Linked DNA regions of Callithrix jacchus. The protein of the gene in region 1 binds, or shares a complex with, the protein of each later gene. Links are inferred from orthologs where the notes say so. Each region holds a gene or a part of one and is shown in the gene's direction. Other genes may lie near its edges.

What was found.
Region 2: SNRNP200 (region 1) and GPKOW share a complex: the UniProt entries of both Homo sapiens proteins name them as parts of the minor spliceosome. The link is inferred for Callithrix jacchus from reciprocal best matches to the Homo sapiens genes SNRNP200 and GPKOW.
Region 3: SNRNP200 (region 1) and SCNM1 share a complex: the UniProt entries of both Homo sapiens proteins name them as parts of the minor spliceosome. The link is inferred for Callithrix jacchus from reciprocal best matches to the Homo sapiens genes SNRNP200 and SCNM1.
Region 4: SNRNP200 (region 1) and RBMX2 share a complex: the UniProt entries of both Homo sapiens proteins name them as parts of the minor spliceosome. The link is inferred for Callithrix jacchus from reciprocal best matches to the Homo sapiens genes SNRNP200 and RBMX2.
Region 5: SNRNP200 (region 1) and PRPF31 share a complex: the UniProt entries of both Homo sapiens proteins name them as parts of the U4/U6-U5 tri-snRNP complex. The link is inferred for Callithrix jacchus from reciprocal best matches to the Homo sapiens genes SNRNP200 and PRPF31.
Region 6: the proteins of SNRNP200 (region 1) and TSSC4 are in contact, whole or in part, in a cryo-EM structure (PDB 7PX3), measured with the Homo sapiens proteins. The link is inferred for Callithrix jacchus from reciprocal best matches to the Homo sapiens genes SNRNP200 and TSSC4. Residues at the interface, in NP_054733.2 of Homo sapiens: Arg1438, Arg1475, His1502, Lys1748, Gln1749, Val1752, Asp1753, Thr1756, Trp1757, Tyr1761, Arg1762, His1778, Leu1781, Ser1782, Asp1783, Leu1785, Ser1786, Glu1787, Val1789, Glu1790, Gln1791, Glu1807, Met1808, Asn1814, Met1817, Ile1818, Tyr1821, Tyr1822, Asp1928, Ser1931; in NP_001284587.1 of Homo sapiens: Val198, Ser199, Ser200, Phe201, Asn202, Gln203, Asp204, Pro205, Gly211, Arg212, Val213, Ile214, Phe215, Thr216, Lys217, Pro218, Arg220, Gly253, Pro254, Val255, Glu256, Leu257, Ala258, His259, Leu260, Ala261, Gly262, Gly303, Phe304, His305.
Region 7: SNRNP200 (region 1) and CWC15 share a complex: the UniProt entries of both Homo sapiens proteins name them as parts of the minor spliceosome. The link is inferred for Callithrix jacchus from reciprocal best matches to the Homo sapiens genes SNRNP200 and CWC15.

Annotation. Positions count from the first base shown.
Region 1 is NC_133515.1:6,131,904-6,135,858, reverse strand, and holds part of SNRNP200 (U5 small nuclear ribonucleoprotein 200 kDa helicase), read left to right. Parts: intron 1-252; coding exon 253-450; intron 451-868; coding exon 869-1,021; intron 1,022-1,131; coding exon 1,132-1,212; intron 1,213-1,499; coding exon 1,500-1,583; intron 1,584-2,269; coding exon 2,270-2,376; intron 2,377-2,700; coding exon 2,701-2,819; intron 2,820-3,146; coding exon 3,147-3,301; intron 3,302-3,428; coding exon 3,429-3,618; intron 3,619-3,826; coding exon 3,827-3,955. UniProt on the Homo sapiens protein: Catalyzes the ATP-dependent unwinding of U4/U6 RNA duplices, an essential step in the assembly of a catalytically active spliceosome. Plays a role in pre-mRNA splicing as a core component of precatalytic, catalytic and postcatalytic spliceosomal complexes.
Region 2 is NC_133524.1:49,662,755-49,666,293, reverse strand, and holds the end of GPKOW (G-patch domain and KOW motifs-containing protein), read left to right. Parts: intron 1-143; coding exon 144-267; intron 268-362; coding exon 363-432; intron 433-1,914; coding exon 1,915-2,000; intron 2,001-2,097; coding exon 2,098-2,232; 3' UTR 2,233-2,920; downstream 2,921-3,539. UniProt on the Homo sapiens protein: RNA-binding protein involved in pre-mRNA splicing. As a component of the minor spliceosome, involved in the splicing of U12-type introns in pre-mRNAs.
Region 3 is NC_133519.1:11,058,939-11,063,426, forward strand, and holds the start of SCNM1 (sodium channel modifier 1), read left to right. Parts: upstream 1-1,304; 5' UTR 1,305-1,366; coding exon 1,367-1,417; intron 1,418-1,683; coding exon 1,684-1,754; intron 1,755-2,609; coding exon 2,610-2,698; intron 2,699-2,798; coding exon 2,799-2,896; intron 2,897-3,001; coding exon 3,002-3,090; intron 3,091-4,488. Other genes in the region: LYSMD1 (lysM and putative peptidoglycan-binding domain-containing protein 1), read right to left, coding at 313-492. UniProt on the Homo sapiens protein: As a component of the minor spliceosome, involved in the splicing of U12-type introns in pre-mRNAs. Plays a role in the regulation of primary cilia length and Hedgehog signaling.
Region 4 is NC_133524.1:126,051,278-126,055,232, forward strand, and holds part of RBMX2 (RNA-binding motif protein, X-linked 2), read left to right. Parts: intron 1-2,410; coding exon 2,411-2,540; intron 2,541-3,781; coding exon 3,782-3,955. UniProt on the Homo sapiens protein: Involved in pre-mRNA splicing as component of the activated spliceosome. As a component of the minor spliceosome, involved in the splicing of U12-type introns in pre-mRNAs.
Region 5 is NC_133523.1:47,297,668-47,301,622, forward strand, and holds part of PRPF31 (U4/U6 small nuclear ribonucleoprotein Prp31), read left to right. Parts: intron 1-2; 5' UTR 3-10; coding exon 11-187; intron 188-300; coding exon 301-361; intron 362-3,270; coding exon 3,271-3,354; intron 3,355-3,814; coding exon 3,815-3,912; intron 3,913-3,955. UniProt on the Homo sapiens protein: Involved in pre-mRNA splicing as component of the spliceosome. Required for the assembly of the U4/U5/U6 tri-snRNP complex, one of the building blocks of the spliceosome.
Region 6 is NC_133511.1:129,467,652-129,472,406, reverse strand, and holds TSSC4 (U5 small nuclear ribonucleoprotein TSSC4), read left to right. Parts: upstream 1-1,651; 5' UTR 1,652-1,836; exon of another isoform or gene 1,837-2,842; 5' UTR 2,843-2,976; exon of another isoform or gene 2,977-3,127; 5' UTR 3,128-3,150; coding exon 3,151-4,164; 3' UTR 4,165-4,363; downstream 4,364-4,755. UniProt on the Homo sapiens protein: Protein associated with the U5 snRNP, during its maturation and its post-splicing recycling and which is required for spliceosomal tri-snRNP complex assembly in the nucleus.
Region 7 is NC_133511.1:45,351,310-45,355,872, forward strand, and holds the start of CWC15 (spliceosome-associated protein CWC15 homolog), read left to right. Parts: upstream 1-1,527; 5' UTR 1,528-1,635; intron 1,636-2,900; 5' UTR 2,901-2,908; coding exon 2,909-3,039; intron 3,040-3,891; coding exon 3,892-4,004; intron 4,005-4,308; coding exon 4,309-4,397; intron 4,398-4,563. UniProt on the Homo sapiens protein: Involved in pre-mRNA splicing as component of the spliceosome. Component of the PRP19-CDC5L complex that forms an integral part of the spliceosome and is required for activating pre-mRNA splicing.

The DNA of each region.
Region 1 (3,955 bases):
TGCTATGGGCCAGCAGCATCCAAAGCCCTCCATCCTTGCACCCACATCTTGGGTCTGGCAGATAGTTTCCCTTATTGCTAACAACTTAGAAGACGCTTAGATCTTTTTAGTAATGAAATGTTAAAACCATTCAGAACATGATATAATATGCATCCTTGTAGTTGGGAAGTAATTTCTAAGCAATTAATGGAAGCCTTTCATTTGGACATCAAGAGTTTCTCCATGCTAAGAACCATGAACTGTGTCTTGTAGGATGCAGTGAACTGGCTAGGCTATGCCTACCTGTATATCCGAATGCTGCGATCCCCAACCCTCTATGGCATCTCTCATGATGACCTCAAGGGAGATCCCCTACTGGACCAGCGCCGACTAGATTTGGTTCACACGGCTGCTCTGATGCTGGACAAGAACAATCTGGTCAAGTATGACAAGAAGACAGGCAACTTCCAGGTGTGTGGTGGGTGAGGGTTTTGAGGCAAAGGTCTCGGCAAAAGTCAACCCAGGAGAAAATATGTCAGATTGCTCTTAGATAGAAGTGAGTACTGCCTATCTAATCGCTTGTTGCCTAGAACAGCGGAAAAATGGGTAGCTTTCCCCATAACTTGGGGTGGATAATTTAGCTGTCTTGTCTGTGCAGACACTATGGGTCAGCTTATTGTGCCATTTTTTTTCATGTGCCTGGGCCTGGCATTTGTACTGCTGTGAATTCATCTAATTGTCCTGTAAGGTCAATAACTTACAGGACATTGAGTTACATACTTTACAAAAAAACTGCACAAAAAACCTATAGGACAATAACTTATGGTCCACAGTTAGAGGTTGGAGCTCATTAATAGTCAGTACTGGATTGAGTCTACCTTCTCTCCAGGTGACAGAACTGGGCCGTATAGCCAGCCACTACTACATCACCAATGATACAGTGCAGACCTACAACCAGCTGCTGAAGCCCACCCTCAGTGAGATTGAGCTTTTCAGAGTCTTCTCATTGTCCTCTGAGTTCAAAAACATCACTGTGAGAGAGGTGAGCCTATGCAGCGTGTTGGGGGCGGGGAGTTGGTGCTCACCAAGTCACTGAATGGTTTCCCTCCTCGGCCTCTGGACTTTCCCTTGACGTTTTCCTCCTTGTGGCAGGAGGAGAAGCTAGAGCTGCAGAAGTTGCTAGAGAGGGTGCCTATCCCGGTAAAGGAGAGCATCGAGGAACCCAGCGCAAAGGTGAGCTCCTCTTTTTGCTTTGATCAGGATGAAGATTATATAGTTTTCATAATCTTCTAAAAGATGAACCTCGAATTTGAGTTCATGTGTGATACCCTCCTCAGTTCTCCTAGTTTTTGCAGCTTTCTTACATGTTCTTTTTATATGAAATAACAATTATTTAGTATTTGTAAGTCAAGAGCTATAGAAGATCTCACCTGGCATGAATGCTCAGAGCAGAAATGTACTTCCCTTTCTTGTACTGTTCAGTGATTGGTCTCCTGCTGGATGATTTTGCTTCTTTCCAGATCAATGTTCTTCTACAAGCCTTCATCTCGCAGCTGAAATTGGAGGGCTTTGCACTGATGGCCGACATGGTATATGTCACACAGGTGAGGGCAGAGTTGTATGGGAGCTGTGAGAAGGGGCCTGAACAGTTCAATCCCTGTGTGCTGTATGCATCCTGGGGAAAGGAGGCCTGACCCTAGTGAGATGGGAGGAATGCTTAGTTCTGTTCTTGGTAGTTGGTTGGTTGGTGCATGTGTGGTACAGCCACTCTGTAGTACCCATCTTGAGCACATGAGAAAGGTAAGGCCTTAAGAGGGAATGCTTTGAGACTCCACAGGCCCTCAGAGAGACAGGAAGAGCCACGGGACACAGTGTCTCCTTCTCAACAGAGAAGTGATTTCCCATTGTGGCTGCAGAACTCATAAATTCCAGAAATGGCACAGGGTTTTATTAGCTGCTCTTCATCTTTACCTCTAAGAACAGGTTACTGGTAACCCTTAACTCTTCGTAGAACTCTAAATGCTAAATGAGTCAAAAGCTCTAAAATCATGCAGTGAATGTTAGGTTAAAATGTGGTGCAGTGACCTTGAGCAGCACTTTTCTAATTGTTCCCCATTTGGTAAGCATCTACTATATGGAAGGGAGAAAGGTGTAAAAACAGAGGGGATTTGCCTTCAAGTTGGGGTGGGTCATTGCATCAGAGCTGGAGTAATGAAACCATGTGTAGAGTGGCTAATGAGGCCTGGGGATAGTCAAGACTTAGCAGTGGGAATGCTGTTTCTTTTCCTAGTCGGCTGGCCGGTTAATGCGAGCAATCTTTGAAATTGTCCTGAACCGAGGTTGGGCACAGCTTACAGACAAGACCCTGAACCTCTGCAAGATGATCGACAAACGCATGTAAGGGCCCAGTGAGCTGGATGTTGGTCACCATGAGTGAGTCCCCAACCCAAGGGTGTTTTGGGAAAGCCTCAGGGTGCATCTGATTTCCAGACCTGACATCTGAAATATGACCTGAACCTGGGTGCACATTGAGAAGAAGTAAGGCCCTCTGTGGTAGGGCTGGGGAGTATGAGAAAGGTGGAGGCCAGGGCTGGCACGGTGTCAACGTCCACCTTTAATGACTGTCTTGTGTGGTCACTGCTGAACTATTGGAGCCATGATGTGGGCAGTTTGTTGCATCCCTGCAGAAGGGACCAACAGCTTTGCCTCTTTCCTGGATAGGTGGCAGTCCATGTGTCCTCTGCGCCAGTTCCGGAAACTCCCTGAGGAAGTAGTGAAGAAGATTGAGAAGAAGAATTTCCCCTTTGAGCGTCTATACGACCTGAATCATAATGAGATCGGTGTGTGGGAAGCTCTCGCCCTTGTCCTCACTGCCTGGGGTCTTTCCCAGTCGGCCTACGTAGTCTTCCAGTTTCTAGGCCTTCTGCATTAGTATCCTTTGTTCAGTTTGTAGTCTTTGAGTTCCTAGGCCTTCTGCATTAGTATCCTGTGTTCAGTTCTCAAGTTCCACTGAAGTACAGGCTGGCCCTTGGACTGGGGACTTGGAATCCTGCACTCCACTGACAGTAAAGGGAAGACTATCCCTTTCCCACAGTGTCCCCTCAGGCCCAGTGTGCAGTATAGTAGGCAGGCTGGGCTGCAGCCTCAGTACTCTTATTTCCCCATAGGGGAGCTTATCCGCATGCCGAAGATGGGGAAGACCATCCACAAATATGTCCATCTTTTTCCCAAGTTGGAGTTGTCGGTTCACCTGCAGCCAATCACACGCTCCACCCTGAAGGTAGAGCTGACCATCACGCCAGACTTCCAGTGGGATGAAAAGGTGAGGCTTTGCAAGGCAGAGGAGCTGAATTGGAGGCACCAAGTCTATGTTGGTGGCAGAGGAGCTGGACTGGAGGTGCTCGGTCTATGTTGTCTCACATTCCTTTTACCTGTGCTCCTGTTGGCAGGTGCATGGATCATCAGAGGCTTTCTGGATTCTGGTGGAGGATGTGGACAGCGAGGTGATTCTGCACCATGAATATTTTCTCCTCAAGGCCAAGTATGCCCAGGACGAGCACCTCATCACGTTCTTCGTGCCTGTGTTTGAACCGCTGCCCCCTCAGTACTTCATCCGAGTGGTGTCTGACCGCTGGCTCTGTGAGTGTCTCCTCTCCAGAGTCCCCAGGAACAGTCCCTCCAAGAACAGTGGAATGTCTTGCAATTTGTCCTGGTCTTCTGGGATTGCCTTTGCCGGGGACAGAGTGATACATACGCTGCCTAGGTTGCCAGTGTTCATGGAGGGGATCTAGAGGCCACTTAGGTAAAGAGAACAGTGCTTACATCCTTCCTGTTTCTTTTCTGGCAGCTTGTGAGACGCAGCTGCCTGTCTCTTTCCGGCACTTGATCCTGCCAGAGAAGTACCCACCTCCAACTGAACTTTTGGACCTGCAGCCCTTGCCTGTATCTGCTCTGAGAAACAGTGCCTTTGAGAGTC
Region 2 (3,539 bases), on another chromosome or scaffold:
GGAAAGGCTTTCAAGGCAGGGCAGGCTCATAGAAGGAACTGGGAACCGCATTGTGGGTGGGTTTCATAGCATAGACAAAGGGAGGGAGACTGGAAAGTGCATCTGATGAAGAGCTAAGCCTGGTGCTGCCACCTTCTCCACAGACAGAATGGGCTTACAGCCAAGATTGAGAAAGCAGCCCCCAGGAGTCGGCACTGGCTGCACAGGGACCTGCGGGTGCGGTTTGTGGACAAGATGTACAAAGGCGGCCAGTATTATAACACCAAGGTGGGAACCCTACAGCCTGAGTCCCCTCCCTCCCCCAGGGACTGGGCCCCCTTAGCTCTCTAAAAATCTCACATCCCCCTGACCTGTATCCCCAGATGATAATTGAAGATGTCCTAAGCCCAGATACCTGTGTATGTCAGACAGATGAAGGCCGAGTCCTGGAAGGTGAGTTTGAGTGATTGCAGCTGGAGCATGATCATCCTGGAGGTTGATCAAGAAGAGTGTCTTAGGCCCAGAGCCTGGCCCAGGCAAAGCTGGGAGGTTGGGCAGAGTTCAGGTATTTTGCAAGGCCTAGCATCCTCTTACAGAACATTGGACACTTCCATTATGGTAGTTATCTTGAGCCCCACACTCCCGGTCTGCCAAGTTTTCTTTTTCTTTCTTTCTTTCTTTTTTTTTTTTTTTGAGGCACAGTCTTGCTCTGTTGCCCAGGCTGGAGTGCAGTGGCATGATCTTGACTCACTGCAACCTCTGCCTCCTGGTTTCAAGCGATAATCCTGCCTCAGCCTCCTGAGTAGCTGGGACTACAGGCAAGCGCCACCACACCTGGCTAATGTTTGTATTTTTAGTAGAGATGGGGTTTCACCATGTTGACCATGCTGGTCTTGAATTCCTGACCTCAAGTGATCCTCCCGCCTTGGCCTCCAAAGTGCTGGGATTACAAGCCACTGCGCCTGGCCTCCATCTATCAAATTAGCATGGAAATTACTTTCTTCCTCTTGTGATTGGTACCTTGGTGAAGGGATGTGTATTGAGCTCTCAGTGCAGGGCAGGGCTTAGAACATGCCAGCAATAAACGATGGCTGTTCTTATCACTACCACCACATGGACATCCTCCCTTTATTATAGTGATTTTTATAAACTACTCCTTAGGCTTCCTCATCTGTGAAATGGATGTGGTGGGACTCTATCTGTCAACAGGGCATAGAGTGGCTCCAGAGAATACAGGAAAGGCCCTTCTTTTTTTTTTTTTTGAAATGGGGTCTTGCTTTATCACCTAGGCTGGAGTGCAGTGGCACGATCATGGATACTGCCACCTCGAATTCCTGGTTTCAAACCATCCTCCCACCTCAGCCTCCTGAGTAGCTAGGACTCAGGCATATACTACCATGCCTGGCTAATTTTAAAATTTTTTGTAGGCTGGGTGAAGTGGCTCATGCCTGTAATCCCAGCATGCTGGGAGGCCAAAGTGGGTGGATCACCTGAGGTCATGGATTTGAGACCAGCCTGACCAACAGCTCAAAACCCTGTCTCTACTAAAAATACAAAATTAGCTGGGTGTGGTAGTAGGCACCTGTAATCCCAGGTACTTGGGAGGCTGAGGCAGGAGAATCATTTGAACCCAGGAGGCGGAGGTTGCAGTGAGCCTAGATTGCGCCATTGCATTCTAGCCTGGGCAACAAGAGTAAAACTCCGACTCAAAAAAAAAATTTTTTTTTTTTTTTTTTTTTGTAGAGACAAGGTCTGACCATCTTGCCCAGATTGGTCTCAAGCTCCTGGGCTCAAGAGATCCTCCCACCTCAGCCTCCCAAAGTGCTGGGTCTAGAGGTGTGAGCCACCACACCTGGCCAGGAAGGGCCCTTCTGACAGGACCCCGGTTGGGCTGGTCCTTGCTGTGGGCCTCACTCCCCTCTCCCTTACCTGTAGGCCTGAGGGAAGACATGCTGGAGACACTGGTTCCCAAGGCAGAGGGCGACCGTGTGATGGTGGTGCTGGGCCCACAGGCTGGAAGGGTGAGTCTCAAACCTGGCAGTGGAGGTTTGTGGGTCATTCACAGCCTGTAGCAGGGTCTAGGCTGGCCTTGCTGATTTCACTTCACCTCTGTTCCAGGTGGGACATTTGCTGAGCCGGGACAGAGCACGGAGCCGGGCTTTGGTGCAACTGCCAAGAGAGAATCAGGTGGTGGAGCTTCACTACGATGCTGTCTGCCAGTACACGGGCCCTAGTGACACAGATGAAGACTGACCCATGGGACTCCTCCCATCCCCTAGGCTGTTACCAGTTCTGTACAGTATGAGGAAGTTGCCTTCAAGAAGGTGGGAAGATCATTGTTCCATCCTCTACTTCTAGTGCAGTTCTGGGACAAGGACAAGGGACATGGATGGATGAACCAGTAGGGAAGCTAGAAACAAACCCAATATTTACCAGAATTTAGGGTATAATAAAAACCATTTCGGACACTTAATAGAAAGATGTAGCAGGCTAGGCACGGTGGCTCACGCCTGTAATCCCAGCACTTTGGGAGGCCGAGGCGGGTGGATCACGAGGTCAAGAAATCGAGACCATCCCGGTCAACATGATGAAACCCCATCTCTACTAAAAATACAAAAAATTAGCTGGGCACGGTGGCGCGTGCCTGTAATGCCAGCTACTCAGGAGGCTAAGGCAGGAGAATTGCCTGAACCCAGGAGGCGGAGGTTGCGGTGAGCTGAGATCGCGCCATTGCCCTCCAGCCTGGGTAACAAGAGTGAAACTCCGTCTCAAAAAGAAAAAAAGATGTCTCTAGCACTGCTCAGAGGGCAAATTTTAAAACTAAAGTCTGGGTGAAAGATTTGCTAGTTTTACAGAAAGATTTGTTATCTTAAACTCAAGCTGGTTTTTCTATTTTCATGTAAATGACTGGGATGCTGTCTTATAAAATCTTCCAAGTTCATGTTTGTGAAATAAACATTACATGAGAGTTTAAAAAACAAAACAAAAAAAAAAGATGTAATCATAGGCCGGGTGCGGTGGCTCAAGCCTGTAATCCCAGCACTTTGGGAGGCCGAGACGGGTGGATCACGAGGTGGACAGATCAAGACCATCCTGGTCAACGTGGTGAAACCCCGTCTCTCCTCAAAATACAAAAATTAGCCGGGCATGGTGGCACTTGCCTGTAATCCCAGCTACTCATCAGGCTGAGGCACAAGAATTGCCTGAACCCAGGAGGTGGAGGTTGTGGTGAGCCGAGATCGCGCCATTGCACTCCAGCCTGGGTAACAAGAGCGAAACTCCATCTCAGAAAAAAAAGAAAGATGTAATCATAAGTGGTATCATGAGCTGCGAGTTAAGGTGGGAACTGAGTTGACTGAGGTGGGAACCATTTCATTTTTCAGCCTTGCTTTCCTGCCCAGGGTACAGGACAAGTTAAAGGACTCATTTGATTATGAGCTCACTCTTGGGATATAAAAACTATGAGCTTAGGCACAGTGGCACATGCCAGTAACTCCAGCAGTTTGGGAGGCTGAGGTGGGTGGATCACTTGAGGCCAGGAGTTCAAGACCAGCCTGGCC
Region 3 (4,488 bases), on another chromosome or scaffold:
TCTTCATCTGCCAAAAGGAAACAATAAATGTACTTGATAGGGTGTGAGGGTGACATGAGCTAATGTATGTGAAGCCCCCAGCACAGTGTCTGGCATAGTAAAATTGGAGCTGTTCCTCTCCATTGGAATAGTAGGACAGGACTTGTCCCAACCCGGCAGTGCAACACTGTGATGGGAAAACAAAGATAAAGGCAGAACAGGTGTAACACTTTAGGAACTTTTCAGAGGAGTTTACCTAGAAAGGCCACTACATTCTTCTCAGGACTAAATCCCTCCTGACTGTTGTCTGCACCCCAATCCTGGAAAACTCACCGTCACCCCATATTTGAGTGCTAGTCCAGCCAGGGTGTCTCCAGGCTCCAAGTGATGCTCCAGGCGTCTCTCCCTCACTGGGGAGCAGGCCGATTGCACGAGGCTTCCATATGAACGAGCCCGGCTCCCTTGAAGAAGTCCTGACCCCCCTGGGGGGGGCTGTCTAGACGGGGAAGCCATCTCTTCACCCTAACGACAGGTAGGGTTGCAACTGGGGAAGGCCCGGCCGAGACTAAGGGTGACAGGCCTTAAGTCTGGGAATGGATATTCAAGGGATTCCTTTCCCCTTCTCTCTTCCCCTGTGTCCCCGCCTCCCCGGCACTACGCCACCTGCCCCCTCCCGGTTTCTCCTCTCTCCAAGCTTGTTATCCACAAATCTGTCCCTTGAGTATTCAGTCCCTCCCTGAATCTCTCCCCTAAGCACCCCACCGACTGTGAACCCCCCACAACTCCTCGCTACATTGACCTCTGACCTTTGACCTCTAGAAATAATCCTCAACAGTCTTTCCTCAGTTTGCCCCCAAGTCCGGTAGCCTGGCCTCTGGGGGCTCTCGCATCCCGGGTCTGCCCGGTCCCGGGGTTCGTCCGCTAGGGTCAGAAACAAATCAGCCCACCCCAGGTGAACTGTCGCCGCAGATGAAGAGCGCGAAGATTGCGAGAGTCTGTAGTACACCTTCCACTCATCAGAGAGGTCACACCCTCACATTTCGGCTCCACATCTAGCTTCTTGTCCCTCCAAATGCCGCAGATCCGCCAGGATGCGAGGGCCTGGATCCAGCAGAGCGGCAAGCTCTTTGAGAAAAGACTTCATTTCCCAAAAGGCTCGGCGTCTGCAGTGTCGCAGGGCACCATAGGAAATGCAGTTCCCTCCGTGCACCAGCGAGTAGATTTCCGGACGCGCAAAGCCTGTGTGGAAGCGCATCCCCGGAAGTACGGAGGCCGACAGGAAGAGACTGAAAACAGAGAAAGAGTTGTCCCACTCTTGCTACGGTGGCCTGGAGGAGTTGAGAAACCGGAACAAGAGAATTTATCATTTCTGGGACTCACAGTCGTGATGTCTTTCAAGAGGGAAGGAGACGATTGGAGTCAACTCAATGTTCTCAAAGTAAGCGTGAGCAGAGAGGATCCAGGGCAGCTTCAGTCGCTCTCTGAAGGTTGGGAAGGAGCTTTGTTTTGTTGCACTGGCAACAGCTCGGGGGTGCGGGAGAGAAAGAGGCGACTTAGAGCTGGGTAGTGACACCTTTTTCGGTCTATGATCACTATTCTCCCCAGGGTCCTTATTCCATTTGACTCCTCATTTCTCTCATTTCACTTCCATCCGTTTCTCCTATCTGCTGATGCCGTCCGGATTTTTTCCCCTTCTCCCTGCAGAAAAGAAGAGTCGGGGATCTGCTAGCCAGTTACATCCCAGAGGATGAGGCGCTGATGCTTCGGGATGGACGGTAAGAGCGAGGAGTGGCCCAAGCCTGAGGGTTCTATGGTTAGAGGCTCAACAAACAAAAGATAGAGGTCTCTCTGTGTTGCCCAGGCTGTCCTCAAACTCTAGGGCTCAAGTGATCTTGCTTCCTCAGCGTCGCGAGTAGCTGGGATTACAGGCGGGCGCGACCATGCCCGGCTTCAACAAACTTTATTGATTGATTGATTGATTGATTGAGACGGAGTTTCGCTGTTGTTACCCAGACTGGAGTGCAATGGCACGAACTCGGCTCACCGCAACCTCCGCCTTCTGGGTTCAAGCAATTCTCCTGCCTCAGCCTCCCGAGTAGCTGGGACTACAGGCACGCACCATCATGCCCAGCTAATTTTTTTTTTCTTTTGAGACGGAGTTTCGCTCTTGTTACCCAGGCTGGAGTGCAATGGCGCAATCTCGGCTCACCGCAACCTCCGCCTCCTGGGTTCAGCCAATTCTCCTGCCTCAGCCTCCTGAGTAGCTGGGATTACAGGCACGTGCCACCATGCCCAGCTAATTTTTTTGTATTTTTAGTAGAGACGGGGTTTCACCATGTTGACCAGGATGGTCTCGAACTCTTGACCTCGTGATCCACCCGCCTCGGCCTCCCAAAGGGCTGGGATTATAAGCATGAGCCACGGCGCCCGGCCCCAAACTTTTGTTATTAATCAGGACAGCAGGAGTATCTAGGATTCCTTGGCCGGAAGTGAGGATCGGAAGAAGTGGGGATTGGATGACCTGGAGTTGGGCTTTGGAAAGGACTGCTAGGACAGGGTGGGACTTACTGTAGGGACTGGCCCCACCCTCTTCCCCTGGACCAATTATCCTCTTCTCTCCCCCTGCTCAGTTTTGCTTGTGCCATCTGCCCCCATCGACCAGTACTGGACACCCTGGCTATGCTGACTGCCCACCGAGCAGGCAAGAAACATCTATCCAGTAAGTTTGGGGAAAGACAGGGTATGGGGAATAAACCCTCGAAATTTCTGCACACCGCTCTTGGTGCTATGCTTTTAGTCTTGTTTCCCTTTCTCCTCAGGCTTGCAGCTTTTCTATGGCAAGAAGCAGCCAGGAAAGGAGAGGAAGCAGAATCCAAGACATCAGAATGAATTGAGAAGGGAAGAAACCAAAGCTGAGGTAATCAGAATGGAGAGTGTATTCTAGTCAAGACCCTGCTGCACACACCAGGCTGGAAGGGAAGAGGGCTGAAGCCTCTGACTCTGTCTCCCATCTCCTTATCAGGCTCCTCTGCTAACCCAGACACGACTTATCACCCAGAGTGCTCTGCACAGAGCCCCCGACTATAACAGTTGCTGCCGCCGGAAGTACAGGTATGGGAGGGGAAAGCCAGAGGTCGGAAGGCTCAGAAGGAGAAAGATGGCTCTAAAAGTTCTCCAATGTGAGGCCAGGCGCGTGGCTCAAGCCTGTAATCCCAGCACTTTGGGAGGCCGAGGCGGGTGGATCATGAGGTCAAGAGATCGAGACCATCATGGTCAACATGGTGAAACCCGGTCTCTACTAAAAATACAAAAAGTTAGCTGGGCATGGTGGCGTGTGCCTGTAATCCCAGCTACTCAGGAGGCTGAGGCAGGAGAATTGCCTGAACCCAGGAGGCGGAGGTTGCGGTGAGCCGAGATCGCGCCATTGCACTCCAGCCTGGGTAACAAGAGCTAAACTCCGTCTCAAAAAAAAAAGTTCTCCAATGTGTATTCTAAGGAACACTGGTATTCCGGAGATGTTACTTAGTGTTTCAAGAAAAGGAGAATTTTGGCCAGGCACAGTGGCTCATGCCTGTTATCCCAGCACTTTGGGAGGCCGAGGCAGGTGGATCACTTGAGGTCAGGAGTTCAAGACCAGACTGGCCAACATGGTGAAACCCCATCTCTACCAAAAATATAAAAAATTAGCTGGGTGTGTGACGTGTGCCTGTAATCCCCAGCTACTCGGGAGGCTGAGACAGGAGAATCGCTTGAACCTGGGAGGCAGAGGTTGCAGTGAGCCGAGATCATGCCACTTCACTCCAGCCTGGGTGACAGAGTGAGACTCCGTCTTAAAAAAAAAAATGGTGGGGGCTGGGTGTGGTGGCTCTTGCCTGTAATCCCAGCACTTTGGGAGGCTGAGGCGGGTAGATCACAAGGTCAGGAGATCGAGACCATCCTGGCTAACATGATGAAACCCTGTCTCTACTAAAAATACAGAAAATTAGCCAGGCATGGTGGTGGGCACCTGTAGTCCCAACTACTCAGGAGGGTGAGACAGGAGAATTGCCTGAACCTGTCGGGAGGGTGAGAGAGGAGAATTGCTTGAACCCAGGAGTTGGAGGTTGCAGTGAGCTGAGATCATGCCACTGCACTCCAGCCTGCGTGACAGAGTAACACTCGAAAGAAAAAAAAGAGAGAGAGAGAGAGAGAGAGAGGAGAAGAGAAGAGAGAAAGAAAGAAAGAAAGAAAGAAAGAAAGAAAGAAAGAAAGGGGGAGAGGGAGGGAGGATGTGTTTTTGTTTTTTTTTTTGAGATGGAGTCTCACTCTGGAGTGCAGTGGCATAGTCTTGGCTCACTGCAACCTCCATCACCTGGATTCAAGTGATTCTCCTGCCTCAGCCTCTGGAGTAGCTGGAATTACAGGTGCTTGCCACCATGCCCGGCTAATTTTCTGTATTTTTAGTAGAGATAAGGTTTCACCATCTTGACCAGGATGGTCTCAATCTCTTGACCTTGTGATCTGCCCACC
Region 4 (3,955 bases), on another chromosome or scaffold:
TAGCTTTTATTCTATTGGTCTATTAATTTTCCAATACCACACTAGTAATTTCAGTCTGTCTGATATCTGATAAGAGTTACTCCCCCTCATTGTTCTCATTAAGAGTTTTCCCAGCTATTTTTACATGTTCTTTTTTCCATAAGAATTTTAGAATTAACTTATTCAGCTTTCAGGAAAGAAACCAAACTGGTATTGTTATTGGAATTATATTAAATTTACATTAACTCGGGAGAAGATTTTGATACCTTATGATAGTGAGTCATCCTGTCCAAGAACAAGGGATACCTTCATATTTGTTCAAATCTATGTTTGTGACTTTTGGGAATTTTAAAATAGTTTTCTTTATATGGGCTTTGTACATTTTTTGTTGATAAGTATATTTCTAAGTACTTTGTCTTTTTTTGCTATGATAAATACGATTTCCCTTTTATCATTTCTTCTGATTATTGTTTCTGTATAACAGAGTGATTGATTTTTAACTTTATATCTTGTTGCTTTACTGAATTGTTACGCTCTGTTTTTAATCATTGTTTATCATGGATTCTCTGGGTTTTCCATGTATACTATCATATGTAATCTACAAAAGGATAATTTTACTTCCTTTTTTTCATTTCTTATATCTGTTTTACCTAATTGCATTGGCCTATACCTTCATTTTAGTATTAAATAGTTTCTAAACTTACTTGAATCAGCTCTAGTATTTCTCATTAAGTAGATTGCTAGATTTTGGGCTGAAGTGTATGTATGTGATTATGTAACATACCTGTCAATTCCCGTTTTATTTTTATGACTTTATTTTTAAATTTATAAACCTCTAACTTATCTGGAATTTATCTTGCTGCAAGGAGTAAGGTAGTCTTTTATTCCTAATGTTTTTTCTTTTTTGAGACAGAGTCCCACTCTCTCGCTCAGGTCACAGTGTAGTGGCATGATCCTAGCTCACTGCAGCCTTGAACTCCTGGGCTCAAGTGATTCTCCCCATTCACCCTCCTGAGTGGCTGGGACTACAAGTGAACACTACCATGCCTGGCTAATTAAAAAACTTATTATTTTGTAGAAACAGGGGTCTTGCTGTATTGTCCAGCTTGTCTCAAACTCCTGGCATCAAGTGATCCTCTGGCCTTGGCCTCCCTAAGTGCTGGTATTACATGTGTGAGCCACTATGCCTGATCTTTTTTTGTTTGCTTGTTTTTTTTGGAAATAGGATCTTGTTCTGTTGCCCAGTCTGTCTTGAACTACTGGCCTCAAACAATACTCCTGCCTCCCAAAGTGCTGGTATTACATATTATAGGTGTGAGCCACCATGCCTGGCCTTTTTTTTTTCTATTTAATTCTGCCTTTTTATCTATTTGGTTTTTTTTTTTTTTTAGAGACAGGGTCTTGTTCTGTTGCTCAGGCTGGTCTCAAATTGCTGGCCTCAAACAATCCTCCCATCTTGGTCTCCCAAAGTTCTGGGATTACAGGCATGAGCCACCATGCCTAGCCAAATTTCTGCCTTTATCTTTATTAGCTCCCATCTGCTTTCATTAGGGTTGCTTTCTTCCTTTATATTCATCCTTTTTGTTCACAATAAAATTATTTTAAAGTTACAAATTTTCCTATGATGTTAGGTACATTTCATAAGTTTTGGTATATATTCTTCTCATTTTTGCTATTTTCTAAATAGTCTGCCATTTTAAAAAAAATATTTTGCTTCATCTTCTCTTTCATCCAGTTATTAAGAGAGTAGCTTTCAAGTTCTAGTTAGGTAAGGTGTTTTTTATTTAAAATATCATTTCCAGCTTTAGGTCTGTCTGTTTTTTGGAGTATAATTATTGAGGTTTACATTGAGACCTAATCCATAGTCTATTTTAGTACAATCTTCATGAATTCTTGAAACTGTCATCTTGTAGGATTCAAAGATATCTATGTATCTAATTACATTAATATTTGTTTGTATAATTGTTATAGTAATTATGTATATTAATTAATCTGATCTTATTTCTGTCCACTTTGTGCATGATAAACTTCAAAGTGATTTGTTAAATTCTTCCATAACTTTTGCTATTAGTTTTTCTTTGCATTTCTGATAGCTTTTTTAATTAAAAATTTTGATTTCTTAATTGACCTAAAGTTTTCCTGACTTATACCTTTGTTTTGTATTTAGGCCTTTTTCAGTGTAAAATAATCTTCTTAGTTTCATTTTTTATTGTGGCCTTGAATTAGCCTTTGCTCTTGATATTAGTGCCTGTTTTTTAATTGGGTACTCCTGTTCTTGTCTGACTTTTTCTTTGTCATGACCTTTCTGTATCATCTCGTTCTAGATGTATCTCTTGTACATACTGTATTATTTGAATTTTGTTTTATTACCTTATCTGCATGTTTTTGCCTTTTAAGTCAATAGTGTCTTACTCTTTTATAAAATAAATAGATATGGGGAGATTGTTAACATTAATCTCGTGCGGGACAAGAAGACTGGGAAGTCCAAAGGATTTTGTTTTCTCTGCTATGAAGACCAGAGGAGCACAATTCTGGCCGTTGACAATTTTAATGGGATCAAGGTGAGTGTACTTACTAAGCAGGTTGGTTGGACATTTTTTCCCCTTGTATAGGGGTTTCGTTTTCTACCTGGTTGCCATGGACACCGGGGCAGCACTCGTCAGCTTGGTGTGTTGCAGGGGCTGCAGAGGTGTGGAGACACTGGTCAAAAAGAGATTCCAGGAAATAATTCTGTTGACTTGTGGCCCTGCAGGACTTGCTTCTTTTTCCCATCTGTTAACAAATTGTCTCCCCAGGAGCATAGGTACCAGGCCTGCCTCCCCTCCAGGCCTCTGTTTTTTACCTTTCTTTTTCTTTTTTTTTTTTTTTTTTGAGACGAAGTTTCTCTCTTGTTACCCAGGCTGGAGTGCAATGGCGCGATCTCGGCTCACCACAACCTCCGCCTCCTGGGTTCAGGCAATTCTCCTGCCTCAGCCTCTGGAGTAGCTGAGATTACAGGCACGCACCACCATGCCCAGCTAATTTTTTGTGTTTTTAGTAGAGACAGGGCTTCACCAATTTGGGCAGGCTGGTCTTGAACTCCTGACCTCAAGTGATCCACCCTCCTCGGCCTCCCAAAGTGCCACTGAACCTGATCAGAGGGGTTAATTTTTTATTGTTGTTCACCTGTAGAGTTGTGATTCATAGCGCAATAATCAGTGTGAGCCTACTGTTCCAGTGTGGTGTGGCTAGAGCAAGGTGTGAGGGCTTAAGAAAAAAGAAAGTTTCCTTTTCTCTATTCCTTCCTCTCGCCAAACTGTTGGTCTGGCTTTGCCTCCTAATGACTGTGTCGGGAAAGCAGTTGTAGCATTAAGCTAGATATCAAGAATTCCTTCTAGTTGCCAGACCTTCCTAGGGCATGTTTCACTGTAAACTTATGTTACAGATCAAGGGTAGTTAATTGTGCATCTAAATCTCACAGTCTTCCCTGATGCTTGTGCTTTGAGGTAGTAGTGTTTCCTAGTCTTTTTCATTTTGTGGACCATGTAGAACAGGAAGATATTTATATGATGCCCTGGGGTAAAGTGATGAGGCTGCTGGTACAATTGCCCAGGCCTCACCTGGCTGCCCTGAGAGCTGAGTGTATTAATATTTAGGTGTACATGCTATGACACACCAGTTGGACAGGTCTGCTTTAGTGACAAAATTTGGCAAGAAGGAAGTGGACATAGTTCAAATCATGGTTTTCTGTAGCTTGTGTTCAGATAGTCTGACACTGTGTTATGAGGGCCGTCTTCACTGAAGCATTTCCCGTCTTGCTTAGATCAAAGGAAGAACTATCCGAGTGGATCATGTGTCTAACTATCGGGCTCCTAAGGACTCAGAAGAAATGGATGATGTGACCAGAGAGCTCCAGGAGAAGGGCTGTGGGGCTCGCACCCCCTCACCAAGTTTGTCTAAGAGCTCTGAAGATGAAAAACCAACAAAAAAGCACAAA
Region 5 (3,955 bases), on another chromosome or scaffold:
AGGCCTCGGGATGTCTCTAGCAGATGAGCTCTTAGCTGATCTCGAAGAGGCAGCAGAAGAGGAGGAAGGAGGAAGCTATGGGGAGGAGGAAGAGGAGCCAGCGATCGAGGATGTGCAGGAGGAGACACAGCTGGATCTTTCCGGGGATTCGGTCAAGACCATCGCCAAGCTATGGGACAGTAAGATGGTAAGAGGACAAGAGGCATGGATAGCAGGGGGCTCTAAACAATCTCCCAGAAAGAGGCGATACAGGCTTCTTTTTGAAGAGTCCTGGATTCCGACTCTCCTCCTTCCCTGCAGTTTGCTGAGATCATGATGAAGATTGAGGAGTATATCAGCAAGCAAGCCAAAGCTTCCGAAGGTACTTCCTCCCCCTTCGTGCCCCTCCCCATCTCCTGACTCTTCTGCCAGGCCCCTTGGCTCCTTTGCTGCTTGTGGCTGGGTATATCTCCCTCTCAGAGTTTTCCAGAGCCTTCTCTTTTTTTTTATTCCTCCCCAACCCATTCCCTTTTCCAGTAAACATAAATTGCTTCGTACAGCGCATCTTCTTAAGTCCTCACTGTGTCCTGAGTTTGCTAATCACGATGGGACTTAGCTTGAGTTTTCCCAGACTCCCAGATTCACATGACCAGTTACAGGGTTTTGGCCACATCTAGAAGCCACTTGTCCTTTAATTGCTTAACATATTCTTTGAGTCTAGGTCTTTTTTCTTAAATTTGATCTACAAAGGAAGCAAACTGCTGCCATGAATGGGAAACTGGCATCACTTGGTAAAGACGAAGTCACCATGTGAAAATAAATACGTGATTATTAGAGCATCATCTAAAAGCTTTTCTCACTTCCACATTTCGGGAACACTGGCTTATCTCTTGAGTAGTCAGACTGTCTTAGAGGGCAGTTCTGTTACCACTCCCATTCTCTCTCTTTTTTATTTTTTCCTTTCGACAGAGTCTCACTCTCTCGCCCAGGCTGGAGTGCAGTGGTATGATCTTGGCTCATTGCAACCTCCACCTCCCAGGTTCAAGCGATTCTCCTGCCTCCGCCTCCCGAGTAGCTGGGATTACAGGCATGCAACACCATGTCTGGCTATTTTGTATTTTTTTTAGTAGAGACGGGGTGTTTCACCATGTTGGTCAGGCTGGTCTTGAACCTCTGACCTCAAGTGACCAGCCCACCTCGGCCTCCCAAAGTGCCAGGATTACAGGCATGAGCCACTGCTCCTGGCCTTCCCATTCATCTTGAATGAAATTTCCTGACAACAGGAAGCCATGGGAGGTTGCTGGGCAAAGACGTGTGTGAGAAAGCCGAGTTTCAGGAGACCCACTGCCTGCTGTCTTTAATGTTTACCTGGGCACCCAGTGGAAACCCCCAGGTCTGTGCTCTAATGTGCTCAAGGTCTGGTGGAAGAGGCAGGCCAAGTTCCAGACAGCTGTCAGTGGGTGATACCAAGCTGGGGCCACTGGAGCCACAGGAGGGACTGGCTGACCCTGCCCCAGGGGTCAGGGAAGAATTGATGGCTGAACTGGACTCTAGAGCATGAATGCATACGCCAGGGGAAGAAAGGGAGGAAGGGGCCTGGGAAAGAAAAGGGGGCCGGGAAAGAAAGCGGCACGCCCAGGGCCTCAGATACTAGGAGTGAGAGGGCGGGCTCAGGAATGTGCCAGATCCTGCAGGGTTCCAGATGCCAGGCCGGGGAACTTCTCCATCCAGAGAGTTATGGGACACAGAAGGTGACATTTCCTGATGTCAGGCCAGGAGCAGGGATGAGTCAGATCCCGTCATACACGGTGTCTGGTTGGAGAGGTAGTCATGAAACATCTCACAAGCAGGTGGCAGTTCCTGTTTATTGGAGGCACAAGTGCTGCAGGTACCCAGAGAAGGCATCTGATCCTTCCGGAAAGGGAGGGAACGGTTCTGAGTCGCTGCCTGAGTCTTAAGCACCACAAGAGCCATTTGAGCATCAGGGTTAGGAGCACAGACTCTGCAGCCACCCTGCCTGGGGTCAGATTTGAGCTCTGTGACATCAGGCAGTGAGTGTATGACATTTAAACACAGCATCACTTTTTGTTTGTTTTTTGAGACAGGGTCTCACTCTGACACTAGGTGAGAATGCAGTGGCATGAACGCAGCTCACTGCAGCCCTGACCTTCTGGGTTCTGGGTTCCGGCGTTCCTGCCTCAGCCTCCCAGATAGCTAGGACCACAGGCATACACCACCATGCCTGGCTCATTTTTTTTCTTTAATTATCTGTAGAGATGGGATCCCCTGTGTCGCCCAGTTTGCTCTGAAACACCTGGGCTCAAGCAGTTCTCCAGCCTGCGCCTCCCAAAGTGCTGGGATTACAGGTGTGAGCCACTGTGCCTGGCCCCTTATAACCAAAGCACAAAGGGTTTTCTGGAAACAGACGTGGGGAGACGGAACAGCATATGCAGAGGCCAGGAGGGGCCAGATGCAGTGGGTCACCCCTGTAACCCCACCACTGTGGGGGGCCCAGGCGGGCGGATCACCTGAGGTTGGGAGTTCGAGACCAACCTGGCCAACATGGTGAAACCCCATCTCTACTAAAAATACCCCAAAAAATTTAGCTGGGCATGGTGGCACATGCCTGTAATTCCACCTACTGAGGAGGCCCAGGCAGAATTGCTTGAACCTGGGAGGCGGAAGTTGCAGTGAGCCGAGATGGTGCTCTGTAGCCTGGGCAACAAGAGCGAAACTCCGAGAAAAAAAAAAAGGCCAGGAGGAGTGGGTGTCCAGGGCACTGCAATCAGTCCTTTGTGGCTGGAGTGGAATACAATGGGGTATGATGAGAGGGAGGGGTGGGAAGTGTAGAAGCTAGACCGCAGAGTTGCTGAGTCAGCAGACAGGAACTGGACAGCTCCCTGTATGCCAGGTGCTCTTCTGGGTACTCGGGTGTGGGTGTAGACCATGCAGGCACAGCACTGGTCCCTGCAGAACTTCCGGTGTTGGGGACACCATGACTATCAGTCTGGGAAGCTTGGTCATGAGTGTCATGAGCCTTAGGGCTGTGGGAAGCCATAGGAGGTTCAATTCCAGGGTAGAGGGGTCAAGTCTAGACTGGTCTGGAGGGAGAGAGATGGGAGGCAGGGACACAAGATCAGGGACTCTGCAGACATCAGCCTGTCCCCCGGTTTACTCTTCAGCCCCCCCCTTCCTGACCCCCTCGAAACCTTGTCCTCCATCTCCCCCAGCTTTGGGACCCAGGATAGGGTAGGGATTTAGATCCTCACACTCCGCTCTGTGTCCTCACAGTGATGGGGCCAGTGGAGGCAGCCCCTGAATACCGCGTCATTGTGGATGCCAACAACCTGACCGTGGAGATCGAAAACGAGCTGAGTGAGTGCTGGGGGGAGGCGGACGCAGCTCCGTGTGACACCCTCATGCCCATCTCCCTTCCCCACTGGCCTTTCCCAGGGTCCTGCCCCTGAGCCCATGCTCAAATCCAGGTCCACCTGCTGTAACAGTGGTTTGAAGAAGAAGGAAGTTTGTTCTCCTCTTATGTGTGAGTCTGAGCGAGCACTTGGGGGTGGTGTGGCCCCAGCTCTTTCCATCTTGTTGTTCAGCCACTGGTTCACGGTGCAAGGTGGCTGTCCCACCTCCAGCCATCACCTCTGCATTTCCACCAGCAAGGCGCTTCTTATTCTTAAGAACGTGTCACCACAGCTCAGCTCACATCTTACAGAGCAGAACAAATTCCCGTGGTCATACGTAAAGGAAGAAGGGGAAATGGGTGTTAGGGCAACCAGCAGACTCTACCTCCTGTCTTACCCAAGACCGCCTGTCCTGTCCACCCTAGACATCATCCATAAGTTCATCCGGGATAAGTACTCGAAGAGATTCCCTGAACTGGAGTCCTTGGTCCCCAATGCACTGGATTACATCCGCACGGTCAAGGTGAGCACCAAGAAGGCGGGGTGCTTGGGAAGAACTGTGGCTT
Region 6 (4,755 bases), on another chromosome or scaffold:
CACATCTCAGAGGTGCTGGAGGGGAAGAAAGACCTCGGCCTCCTCGGGAGCCCACCCAGCCCACCAGTGAGCAGTGGGTGGGTGGACAGGCTCTGGGGCCAAGCATCCCCTGCACTGCCCCGCACCCCTTCCCTGTCCGAGCTCCTCCAAGCCAATGGGCTTGGTCTAGGCTCTCCTATCTTCCCTCACACCGTGGACCCTGGGGTGGTGCTTGCTGTCGCTCCGGCTGCTTTTCCCTAGTTGGGGAGATGAAGCTGCTGGCACATTGACCCCTGGAGGAAAGGAGTGACTGGGAATTTATGTCTAGGGCTCCCAGCAGCCTCTCTGCAAGCCAATTTGGAAACTGCCCCCGGCCCTGCATTTTGGGGGGTTACGGAGTCTCTCAGCAGGCCCTCTCCTGCTGCTCCCAAATTCCAAGGCTGCACTGCTTGGGAGCACAGGACGGTGCAAGGAGCCCCCTCTCCACTTCCCGCTGTGTCCTCCGTGGGCGGGGAATGACATCCCAAAGGCCGCAGCAGGTCCTTGAGTCCTGTTTCCCGGCGGATGCCAGGACAGCAGGCCCTGGGAAGGGAGTTGTCTCCAGCCTTGACACGGCCCAGCGGTGTAGCCGCCGAGGGGAACTCAGCTCCCCGCAGTGTGCGGGGCACAGGGCGCCAACCAACCAGGGCCCGTGGCCCAGGGACACGCGGCTTGTCGGGGGGAGAACCTGGGCCCTCGCTCTCCCTTTCAGGGCGGGCACCGTGGACAGGCGAGGCCAGGCTGCCGGCTCCCAGGCATGGCGGAGGCCACACCGCTCCGGCTGCCGCCCACCCAGCCACGCTTGAGGAGCGTTCAGCGGCCTCCACCCCGCCCGGGAGGACGGGGGACCGGGGACCTGGAAGGGCCTGGCCCTGGCTTCCCTGCAGCGCCCTCGGAGGCCGGACCAATGTGCCAGAGCTGAGGGCCCAGGGCTGCGCGGGCGGCCCGGCAGCGTCCCCAAGGGCGACGCCCCACAAGTTTGCCTCCAGGGCCCAGCCAACCCCTAGGGGTGGGAAAGCGTCGGCCCAGCCAGAGGATCCAGCAGGGCCGCCCCCTTCACCCGTGGCCCACAGGTCAAGACTCCGCGTCCTCATCTCGGGCTGGGACCGCCTTTGCGTCCGCCCTGAGCGGGACCGTGGGATCCTGGGGAGCCCCGCCTCAGTGCTCCGAAGCCCCGGAAGAGCTACAGCTGCCGCTTCCGGTCATGACCGGAAGTGTCCGAACGGCATTCGCCCTCCCTATGAAATGACGCACTTCCTGCCTGAGGCGGCCGCTGTTCTCACGGTTTCCAGCAGGTGGCGCTGGGACCACGGAAAGCCGGCGCGGCGGTCGGTTAGCCCTCGAGCATTCTGGGAATTGCAGGCGTGGCCCCTCCTTTTCCTGTTCTCCTTGGTCAGTTCCGGTCTTGTTTCGCCAACAAATGCCGCGGTTCCGGGGCTGTTTCCGAGCCGGACGCCAGGGCCGCGGTGTCCTGGAGTAGAGAGGCGGACGCATGCGCACAAGACTACACGTCCCGACAGGCGTCGGGAGCGGCGGCCCAGTGCCTTGTGGGAGGTGTAGTTTTGCGGGCGTGGAAGCCGCGGCGCTCGGCCGGATGAACACTCGGTTTCCCAGAGGGCTGAGCGCGTTGCATGGGCGGGCGGAGCCGACCAAGATGGAGACGGCCGTGCCGCCTTGAGCTGGTAGGTTTGTGTTGAGGAACGACGGGCCGCGTGAGCCGGGTGAGCCTCCGGGAGGTCACCGAGCGCAGCTGAAGCCCCGCTGTGCTCACCGACCCCCGTACCCCGCGGCCGAGCCCTTGGGACCCACAGCATCCTCGTGAGTGTCCAGCCCGACTTCGCACCGAGAGCCGACTTGGCACAGAGAGTTTGTTCCCTGGCGGGGAGGTCTTGCTGGCGCATAGAGAGGAGAAAGGCCAGGCCCTGCCTTCATGTGGGCAAAGGGACGGTTTCCTTCAGCCTCCGTCCCTGCCGGCTCTAAAACGGACATCAGTGGGGGGTTCCGGGTAGCCCCTTTCATTTACGGGGTGGCTTCTTCACGGAGGAGAGTCACGCCGCAGAGGAATTGAAGTGCTGCCTCTGTTTGACCTGGTGGGGGGCACTAGGAGCCCCTTCTGGTACCCCTGACCCCATCCTTGTTGGGAGCACGGGACACATGTCACCCTGGCGGGCAAGGAGTCAGTGGATGGATGAGGGCAGTGCAGAAGGGTGAGGCCGGGCCGTCCTCTCCACTGGCAATGCCAGCTCCGAGGCACCCAGTCACTCCACCACTAAATGGGTGCGGGAGGCCGCTTGGCTGCCCCGCTGGAAAGGCGGTGTGTGTGTTGAGTGTTACACGGGGAAGGCCACTAGAGGTCGCTCCAGGAGCTACGCGGCTTTGCCTCTGCCTGTGAGGGCTGCTCGAGGTGATTGATGGGCTGACACCCCACTTTGTGCGATGCCAGGGCCTTGGCTGCAGATGTCTTGGGAGCTCCCGGGGCTCTCCCAGCAGATAGGAGCAAACCTTTTCCCCGATGACCAGGAAGGTGCCTGCTCTTGCTCACCCCCCAACAGCAAGCAGCTTATAAGTAGCTCTCCTGCCTGATCTCGGCCCTGGGTTCCAGCCCTGGGCGGCTGCTTACTACCAGAATCGCTTCGTAGTTCCAAGCCTGCCTGCAGAGGGTTGACGCGATTAAATTAAGTCACGACTCAGAAGTCCCTACCCTGGGTTCTGGCCTGTCAGGGACTCCAAAACCCGGGCTCAGGTCGGTCCTGCCTCCCACCTCTTTCACACATTTGCGCTCCGGTCTGAGGATGGTCCTCTCCCCCACCCCTCCCACCTGCAGTCGAGCAGCTGAACAGACGCATGCCAGGGGCACTCCGAGGCCTGAGACAACCATACCTGTGCCACTGAGGACCTTCATCAAGGTTCCGCCCACCTGGCTGTGCAGCCACACTCCAGTGTCAGCAGCCAAGGGAGGTGAGAGGAGGGCTGGGAGGGGGAGAGGGGCCTCCACCCTGTGTGGGACAGGTCTGCCGGCTGACCCTCCTTGTCCAGGGGCGGTTGATCTGCAGGAGACTCATTCTTAACACTGTTCCTGAAACGAATCTCCTGGGCTGTTTTGGTCTAGGTGTGACGTGGTCCTGGGAACGCATGGCTGAGGCAGGGACAGAGGAGCCGTCCCCCAGCGTGGAGGGGGAGCATGAGACGGAGTATGACACGCTGCCTTCCGACACGGTCTCCCTCAGTGACTCGGACTCTGACCTCAGCTTGCCTGGCGATGCTGAAGTAGAAGCGCTGTCCCCAGGGGGGCTGCCTGGGGAGGAGGATTCAGGCCCCGATGAGCCGCCCTCACCCCCCTCAGGCCTCCTCCTCCCATCTGCGGTGCAGCCGTTCCATTTGAGAGGCATGAGCTCCACCTTCTCCCAGCGCAGCCGTGACATCTTTGACTTCCTGGAGGGGGCAGCCAGGCGGGCCCCACCCCCTGTGGCCCACAGCAGCAGAAGTGACAATGGAGGCTTCAAGCGGCCCCTGGCACCCTCAGGCCAGCCTCCAGTGGAAGGGCTGGGCAGGGCCCATTGGAGCCCAGCCTCCCCCAAGGCGCCTCCAGTCCCCGACTACGTGGCACACCCCGAGCGCTGGACCAAGTACAGCCTGGAAGATGTGACCGAGGTCAGCGAGCAGAGCAATCAGGCCACCGCCCTGGCCTTCCTGGGCTCCCAGAGCGTGGCTGCCCCTACTGACTGCGTGCCCTCCTTCAACCAGGACCCCTCCAGCTGTGGGGAAGGGAGGGTCGTCTTCACCAAACCAGCCCGAGGGGTTGAGGCCAGACACGAGAGGAAGAGGGTTCTGGGTAAAGTGGGAGAGCCAGGCAGGGGCAGCCTTGGGATCCGTGCCCCAGATAGGGGCGAGGGCCCAGTGGAGCTGGCCCATCTGGCCAGGCCCGGTAGCCCAGAGGCTGAGGAGTGGGGCAGCCCCCACGGGGGCCTGCAGGAGGTGGAGGCACCGACAGGGCCTGTCCACGGTGGGCCTATGCCAGGCCTCCCACTGGTGGAGACGGTTGGCTTCCACAGTAGCAGGAAGCGGAGTCGAGACCACTTCCGGAACAAGGGCAGCAGCTCCAAGGGCCCAGGCGCTGAGGTCTCAGAGGGAGACGGGGCCGCCTGACCACACTGGCCACTGCCGTCCTGCTGCCTTCCCAGGAGGTCTGGCCAAGGGGCAGCTAGAGTGGGAGGGAGCCTGCATGCTGCCTGTAGGTGGCACCGGTGGCCCTGGGTGTCATCCTCCCAACAGACCTGGCTGAGGCTCCTGGGGTGGGCTGGAAGCATTGGCTACCTGGTGGGGACAATAAAGGTTTTGGGACTTCCTCAGGCTTCGTGTATATCTGGGCCCTGCTCACCCCTGTCGGCTACGAGGGGTCCCGCTTGGCTGCTTCCAGCCTCACCGCCAGGCCACTCGAGGGTGGCTGGCACCTGCATCCCTCACCAGCAGATCACCCAGGTGGCAGCAAGAAGTGGAAACCCCAGGTCTCCTCCAGGGCTTGTGGCTCAGTGGCAGGTGTCCAGCGAGTGCCCTCAACGTGCCTGGGTGGGTACAGAATTTGCCCTCCCCCAAACAAAGCCCACACGATAACATCAGCCCCAGGCCTGGTGCAGATTCCAGCATGGAAGGCAAGAGGAAGGTGACAAAATGGGTCTGGACAGAGAGGCTGGGGTGAGCAGACAGCCGGGGAGCCAGGGAGCCAGGGCAGGTAGGTGT
Region 7 (4,563 bases), on another chromosome or scaffold:
CTGCTTTGTAAAACAGAAATCTCCACTTGGCTGTGTCTAGAGCTTAGTGTGAAAGCAAGTCACTGATTGGAAGTGAAGTCTGGAAGATGGGCAGGAGCCAGACTCCGTGGGGTCTCAGGTCACATTAAGAAATGTAATTTTTATTCTAAGTGCAGTGGAATTTTATACGGATAGTAACACCATCTGATTATTTTTAAAAGATCACTCTCTAGGCTATATGCAGCATTGACTGTAGGATAAAACGTGGCCCAGGAAGATACATTAGAAAAAATTACAATCCATGTAGGAGATGGTGTTGGCAAGAACAAGGGTAGTGGCAGTAGAATAGAATTTGTTAAGTTTTTAAAGTAGAGTTGTTAAGACCTGTAAATGAACTGTATGTGAAGAGTGAAGGTAAAAAAATTTAAATAGGCACTCTGGGATTTTGGTTTGAGTAACTAATATGATGACCTTTACTGAGATGTTTAACACTGGAGGAGGGATATCTTTGGTAAGAAAAATCAAGATTTTCATCTTGAACTTTACGAGTGAAAAGGCTTTTTCTGCTTTTTTTTTTTCCCCTTCATTTAAAAGTTGCAAAGAATTTAGGGATAAGAAAGCATTTAAATTTTCAATTTTGTGAGCTCCTTACATTTTAAACTAAGTTGGGGACGTTGAATTTCCATTTAACAAGTATTTATTGAGTAACTACTATACGTCAAGGTCTACGTGATGATATACCAAGATGAACTAAGCATTCAAGACCTCTGTTCTCAGATTGACTTATTTTTTTATGGAAGGGAGGTGAGACGATTGGTGGGTTTTTTGGTTTTTGGGTTTTCTCCTTTTCGTTGTCTTATTAAAACTTAACACTTGAGTAGCCATCTTAATAACTACACTGTGCTTCTGGCAGTTGGGCCCACCGTTCTAAACGCTGTCGTAAATACTGACATCTCCCCTCCCACAAGAACTAACGTTTTTTAAATAAAAAAATTTTAGCAAACATTACGCATACAACCTTTGCTTTGAAGTGTAATATTTTTGCAGGAATGGTACCTTTATAAAGATCGTGGTTGCCCCGTACTTATTTGTTCTTTCTTCATATCCAATTAAATGAAAACACTAGTTTTTCCGAAGCCCAACTCTCTAGGCTTGTTGGTTCTAGCTCAGGATGGAAGCAGGAGTCGTTGGATTTAAACAGTTTGGTGTAATCCTTTTCCACGCTCTAACCCGCTAGCCGGGGACGTGGTGTCGGCTACCCGGGGCTTTCCGTCCACGCAGTACCGGAATGGAGTCTGGGAGGGGGTCGGGGACGGAAAAGACGGAAGAGACATTAAGTAATTGGTTCTTGAAGGTATAAAATGATGTTTAGGGTCTACTCTAAGGCACTGATTTCAAACGCCCGCCCCCTGGGCCGTTTAGGCCCCGCCCCTTATTGCCCTTACGCCAACTTCCACTTTGGCCTCTGCGGATTGGTTGTTATCTCCGCCTCAGAAGCGCTTGGGTTTTGCTTCCGGGTCATAGGCCTAGCCCTGAACGCAGAGGTTCCTGGGAGCCAAGCGTAGTAATGGCGTCTGTATGATATTCGGAGCCTGCTGCATCGGACCTCGGCCAATGTGAGTGACAGGAGGATAACAGATTATCTTCTTTATCCCGGTAGGACGGGAAAGGGCAGTTGGGATTGGAGTTGGTGGCAGAGTGCTGAGCGCGGGCGGCGGAGGCCCTGAAGCAGCTCGCTAGGGGCGGAACCGAGTGCCTGTCAGGCGCGTCCGGAGCTCTAGGCCTGCGGTTAAGATCGCAGCGTAAAGGCAGCTCGCCTACCGCTTAAAGCGAGCCTCAGGTCCACCCTTCACTACTCCTCGCATCCCTGTAGTGCTAGGCACGGGTGAAGAGGTAGCGAGTTTCTGGTTATAGCCAAAGACTAGCTCTCCGGAGGCCAGAGTGATAATTCTGTTGGCGTGTGGGAAGGCGCGGTGCCCCCAGAGCCAGATAATCCTGTTTCTTCTTTGAAGACATGCCTCTACCCTTTTCGGAAATCAAGAGAAATAGACCCCTGCCAAAAAAAAAAAAAACGAAAAAACAAATCCTCCCAATTCACCCACCCTCCCACACACTTTTCCGACACTTACAGCGTCTTAGTAACTAAATCTGTTAGACAGTATTCTTGTGATTGCGCCAAGCAGAAAATAAAGAATGTGTCCCTGGTTTTTGGTATTAGAATCCTCTGGGGCGAGGTTCTTGTTTTTTTGAACAGTCCTTAAATTATAACCCACAAGAGATCTGAGTTATAATATGATGCCTGTTGTAGAAGAAAATTGGATCAACAAAAGGTTGTTTAAGAATTTTTTTTCTATGTAACTGTCATTGAAGTTTAACACTTTTGCCTAGGGCACTTAATAACTTCGTCAGTGATTTTTTAAAAATTGTTTTTGGCTTTTGTTTCTGTTAGTCTATTTGCTATTGTGTGAAATTTAGATAAAATACAAACCTTAGAGAGTTTGGTGGAGTAAGGTTGAGCTGAGAATTTTTAAAACTCAGTCATGGCAGTACGGTATTTTATAAGGGTTTTGACATGTCAAGTGTCGTAATTCTTACAATAATCCTAGGAGGAATATCTCCATTCCGCTGATGACAGAAAGTTAAGCTAGGTGACTTCGTGAAGCCCACAGAGTCAGAAGAATAGGGATGCAAACTCAGATCTTCGTGACAGAATTTTTTGTACTAAGACATGTCTGGGAATCCATATTCCTTGTACTGCCTAAGCCTCATAATTTTTTTTCTTGAAAACTTTTGTTTAAGAAGATTAAGCAAGTTTTGGGGAATGAGTTTTAGAACTTATATCACCAGGATGGATATTGATTAATACTCTAAAATGAGAGTTCGTAATGTTGGAAATAACTTGATACTATTTTTCTTCAAAGCATAAAAGATGACAACTGCAGCCAGGCCAACCTTTGAACCTGCAAGGGGTGGAAGAGGAAAAGGAGAAGGTGATTTGAGCCAACTTTCAAAGCAGTATTCAAGCAGAGACCTACCTTCTCATACAAAGATAAAATACAGGTAATAAGACTTTTTTGTTGTCGTTCGCAAAACAAGACCAAATCTGTTAAATGACATGGTCATGATATAGTAGTATGTTTGAGTTATGTTACTTATTTATTTTCATAGACATAGAGTGCAACAGGATGTTTAACACTAAAATTTTGCTCTATGATTTTAAAATGCAAAATTCCTACTAACCAGGAATTTTCATATGTAGATAGAGCAATAAATAATATAAATAATAATGCCTCAGAGAGACTATGCACAATCAGCACCAGTCAATATATTAAAAATGTTACTGTTCTGAGTTGATATAATACTAATTACAGATATTTTAATCTGTGTAAAGCCGGCTGGGCGCAGTGGCTCACGCCTGTAATCCCAGCACTTTGGGAGGCCGAGGCGGGTGGATCACGAGGTCAAGAGATCGAGACCATCCTGGTCAACATGGTGAAACCCCGTCTATACTAAAAATACAAAAAATTAGCTGGGCATGGTGGTGTGTGCCTGTAATCCCAGCTACTCAGGAGGCTGAGGCAGGAGAATTGCCTGAACCCAGGAGGTGGAGGTTGCGGTGAGCCGAGATCGCGCCATTGCACTCCAGCCTGGGTAACAAGAGCGAAACTCCATCTCAAAAAAAAAAGAAAATCTGTATAAAGCCTTATCATGGGAAAATACTGAATTTGGATTTCTCGAAATATTGGGAACATCACAGGAGTGGCTGTTAGTAACCCTCAGATTAGCTTATGGTCTTGTCTATTTCCCTTTTTTATGCTTGAAGGACAAAGTCTCATTCTTGAATTGTCTTCCATTACTACAGTTGTGTGTGTGTGTAAGTAACATTTTTGCCCTGGCTCGTTTTTACTTTAGACAAACTACTCAGGATGCCCCTGAAGAGGTTCGTAACCGTGACTTCAGGAGAGAGTTGGAAGAAAGAGAGAGAGCTGCTGCAAGAGAGAAAAATAGGGATCGTCCAACCCGAGGTACCAACACTATCCCAGACATTTGTCTCATAAAATTATCTTTTTGATAGTTTTTCTTTCATGTAGCAACTGGAAAATGTTAACCATTTGTTTGCTTTTACACTTGATGTGAGTTATAATATTTAAGTCATTAGAGATGATAATAACAAATATTTACCAAAAGCATATTTGCCAGGCACTGTGGATATGATTTCTGTTGTCATAAATGCTTTTAATGTGGGCTCTTTGTACCCACAGGTCCCTAAAACATTGTAAGAAATGCAGTATTTGTTTTACTAAGTTAAATGATTTTTGTTTCCCCCAGAACATACAACCTCCTCTTCAGTGTCAAAAAAGCCACGGTTAGACCAGATTCCTGCTGCCAATCTTGATGCAGATGACCCTCTAACAGATGTATGTTTTGTTTCCTCCTTTCATCTCTATCTAATAATTGATTTACCATGTTTTTCTAAAATACTTGTTGTGCTTTTGGCTTTAAGAAGTGACCTATATTTATGTTTACTTACTATTATTCAGATATAGCCCCAACGTCAGTGCTAAACTGTATAGTTGATATTAA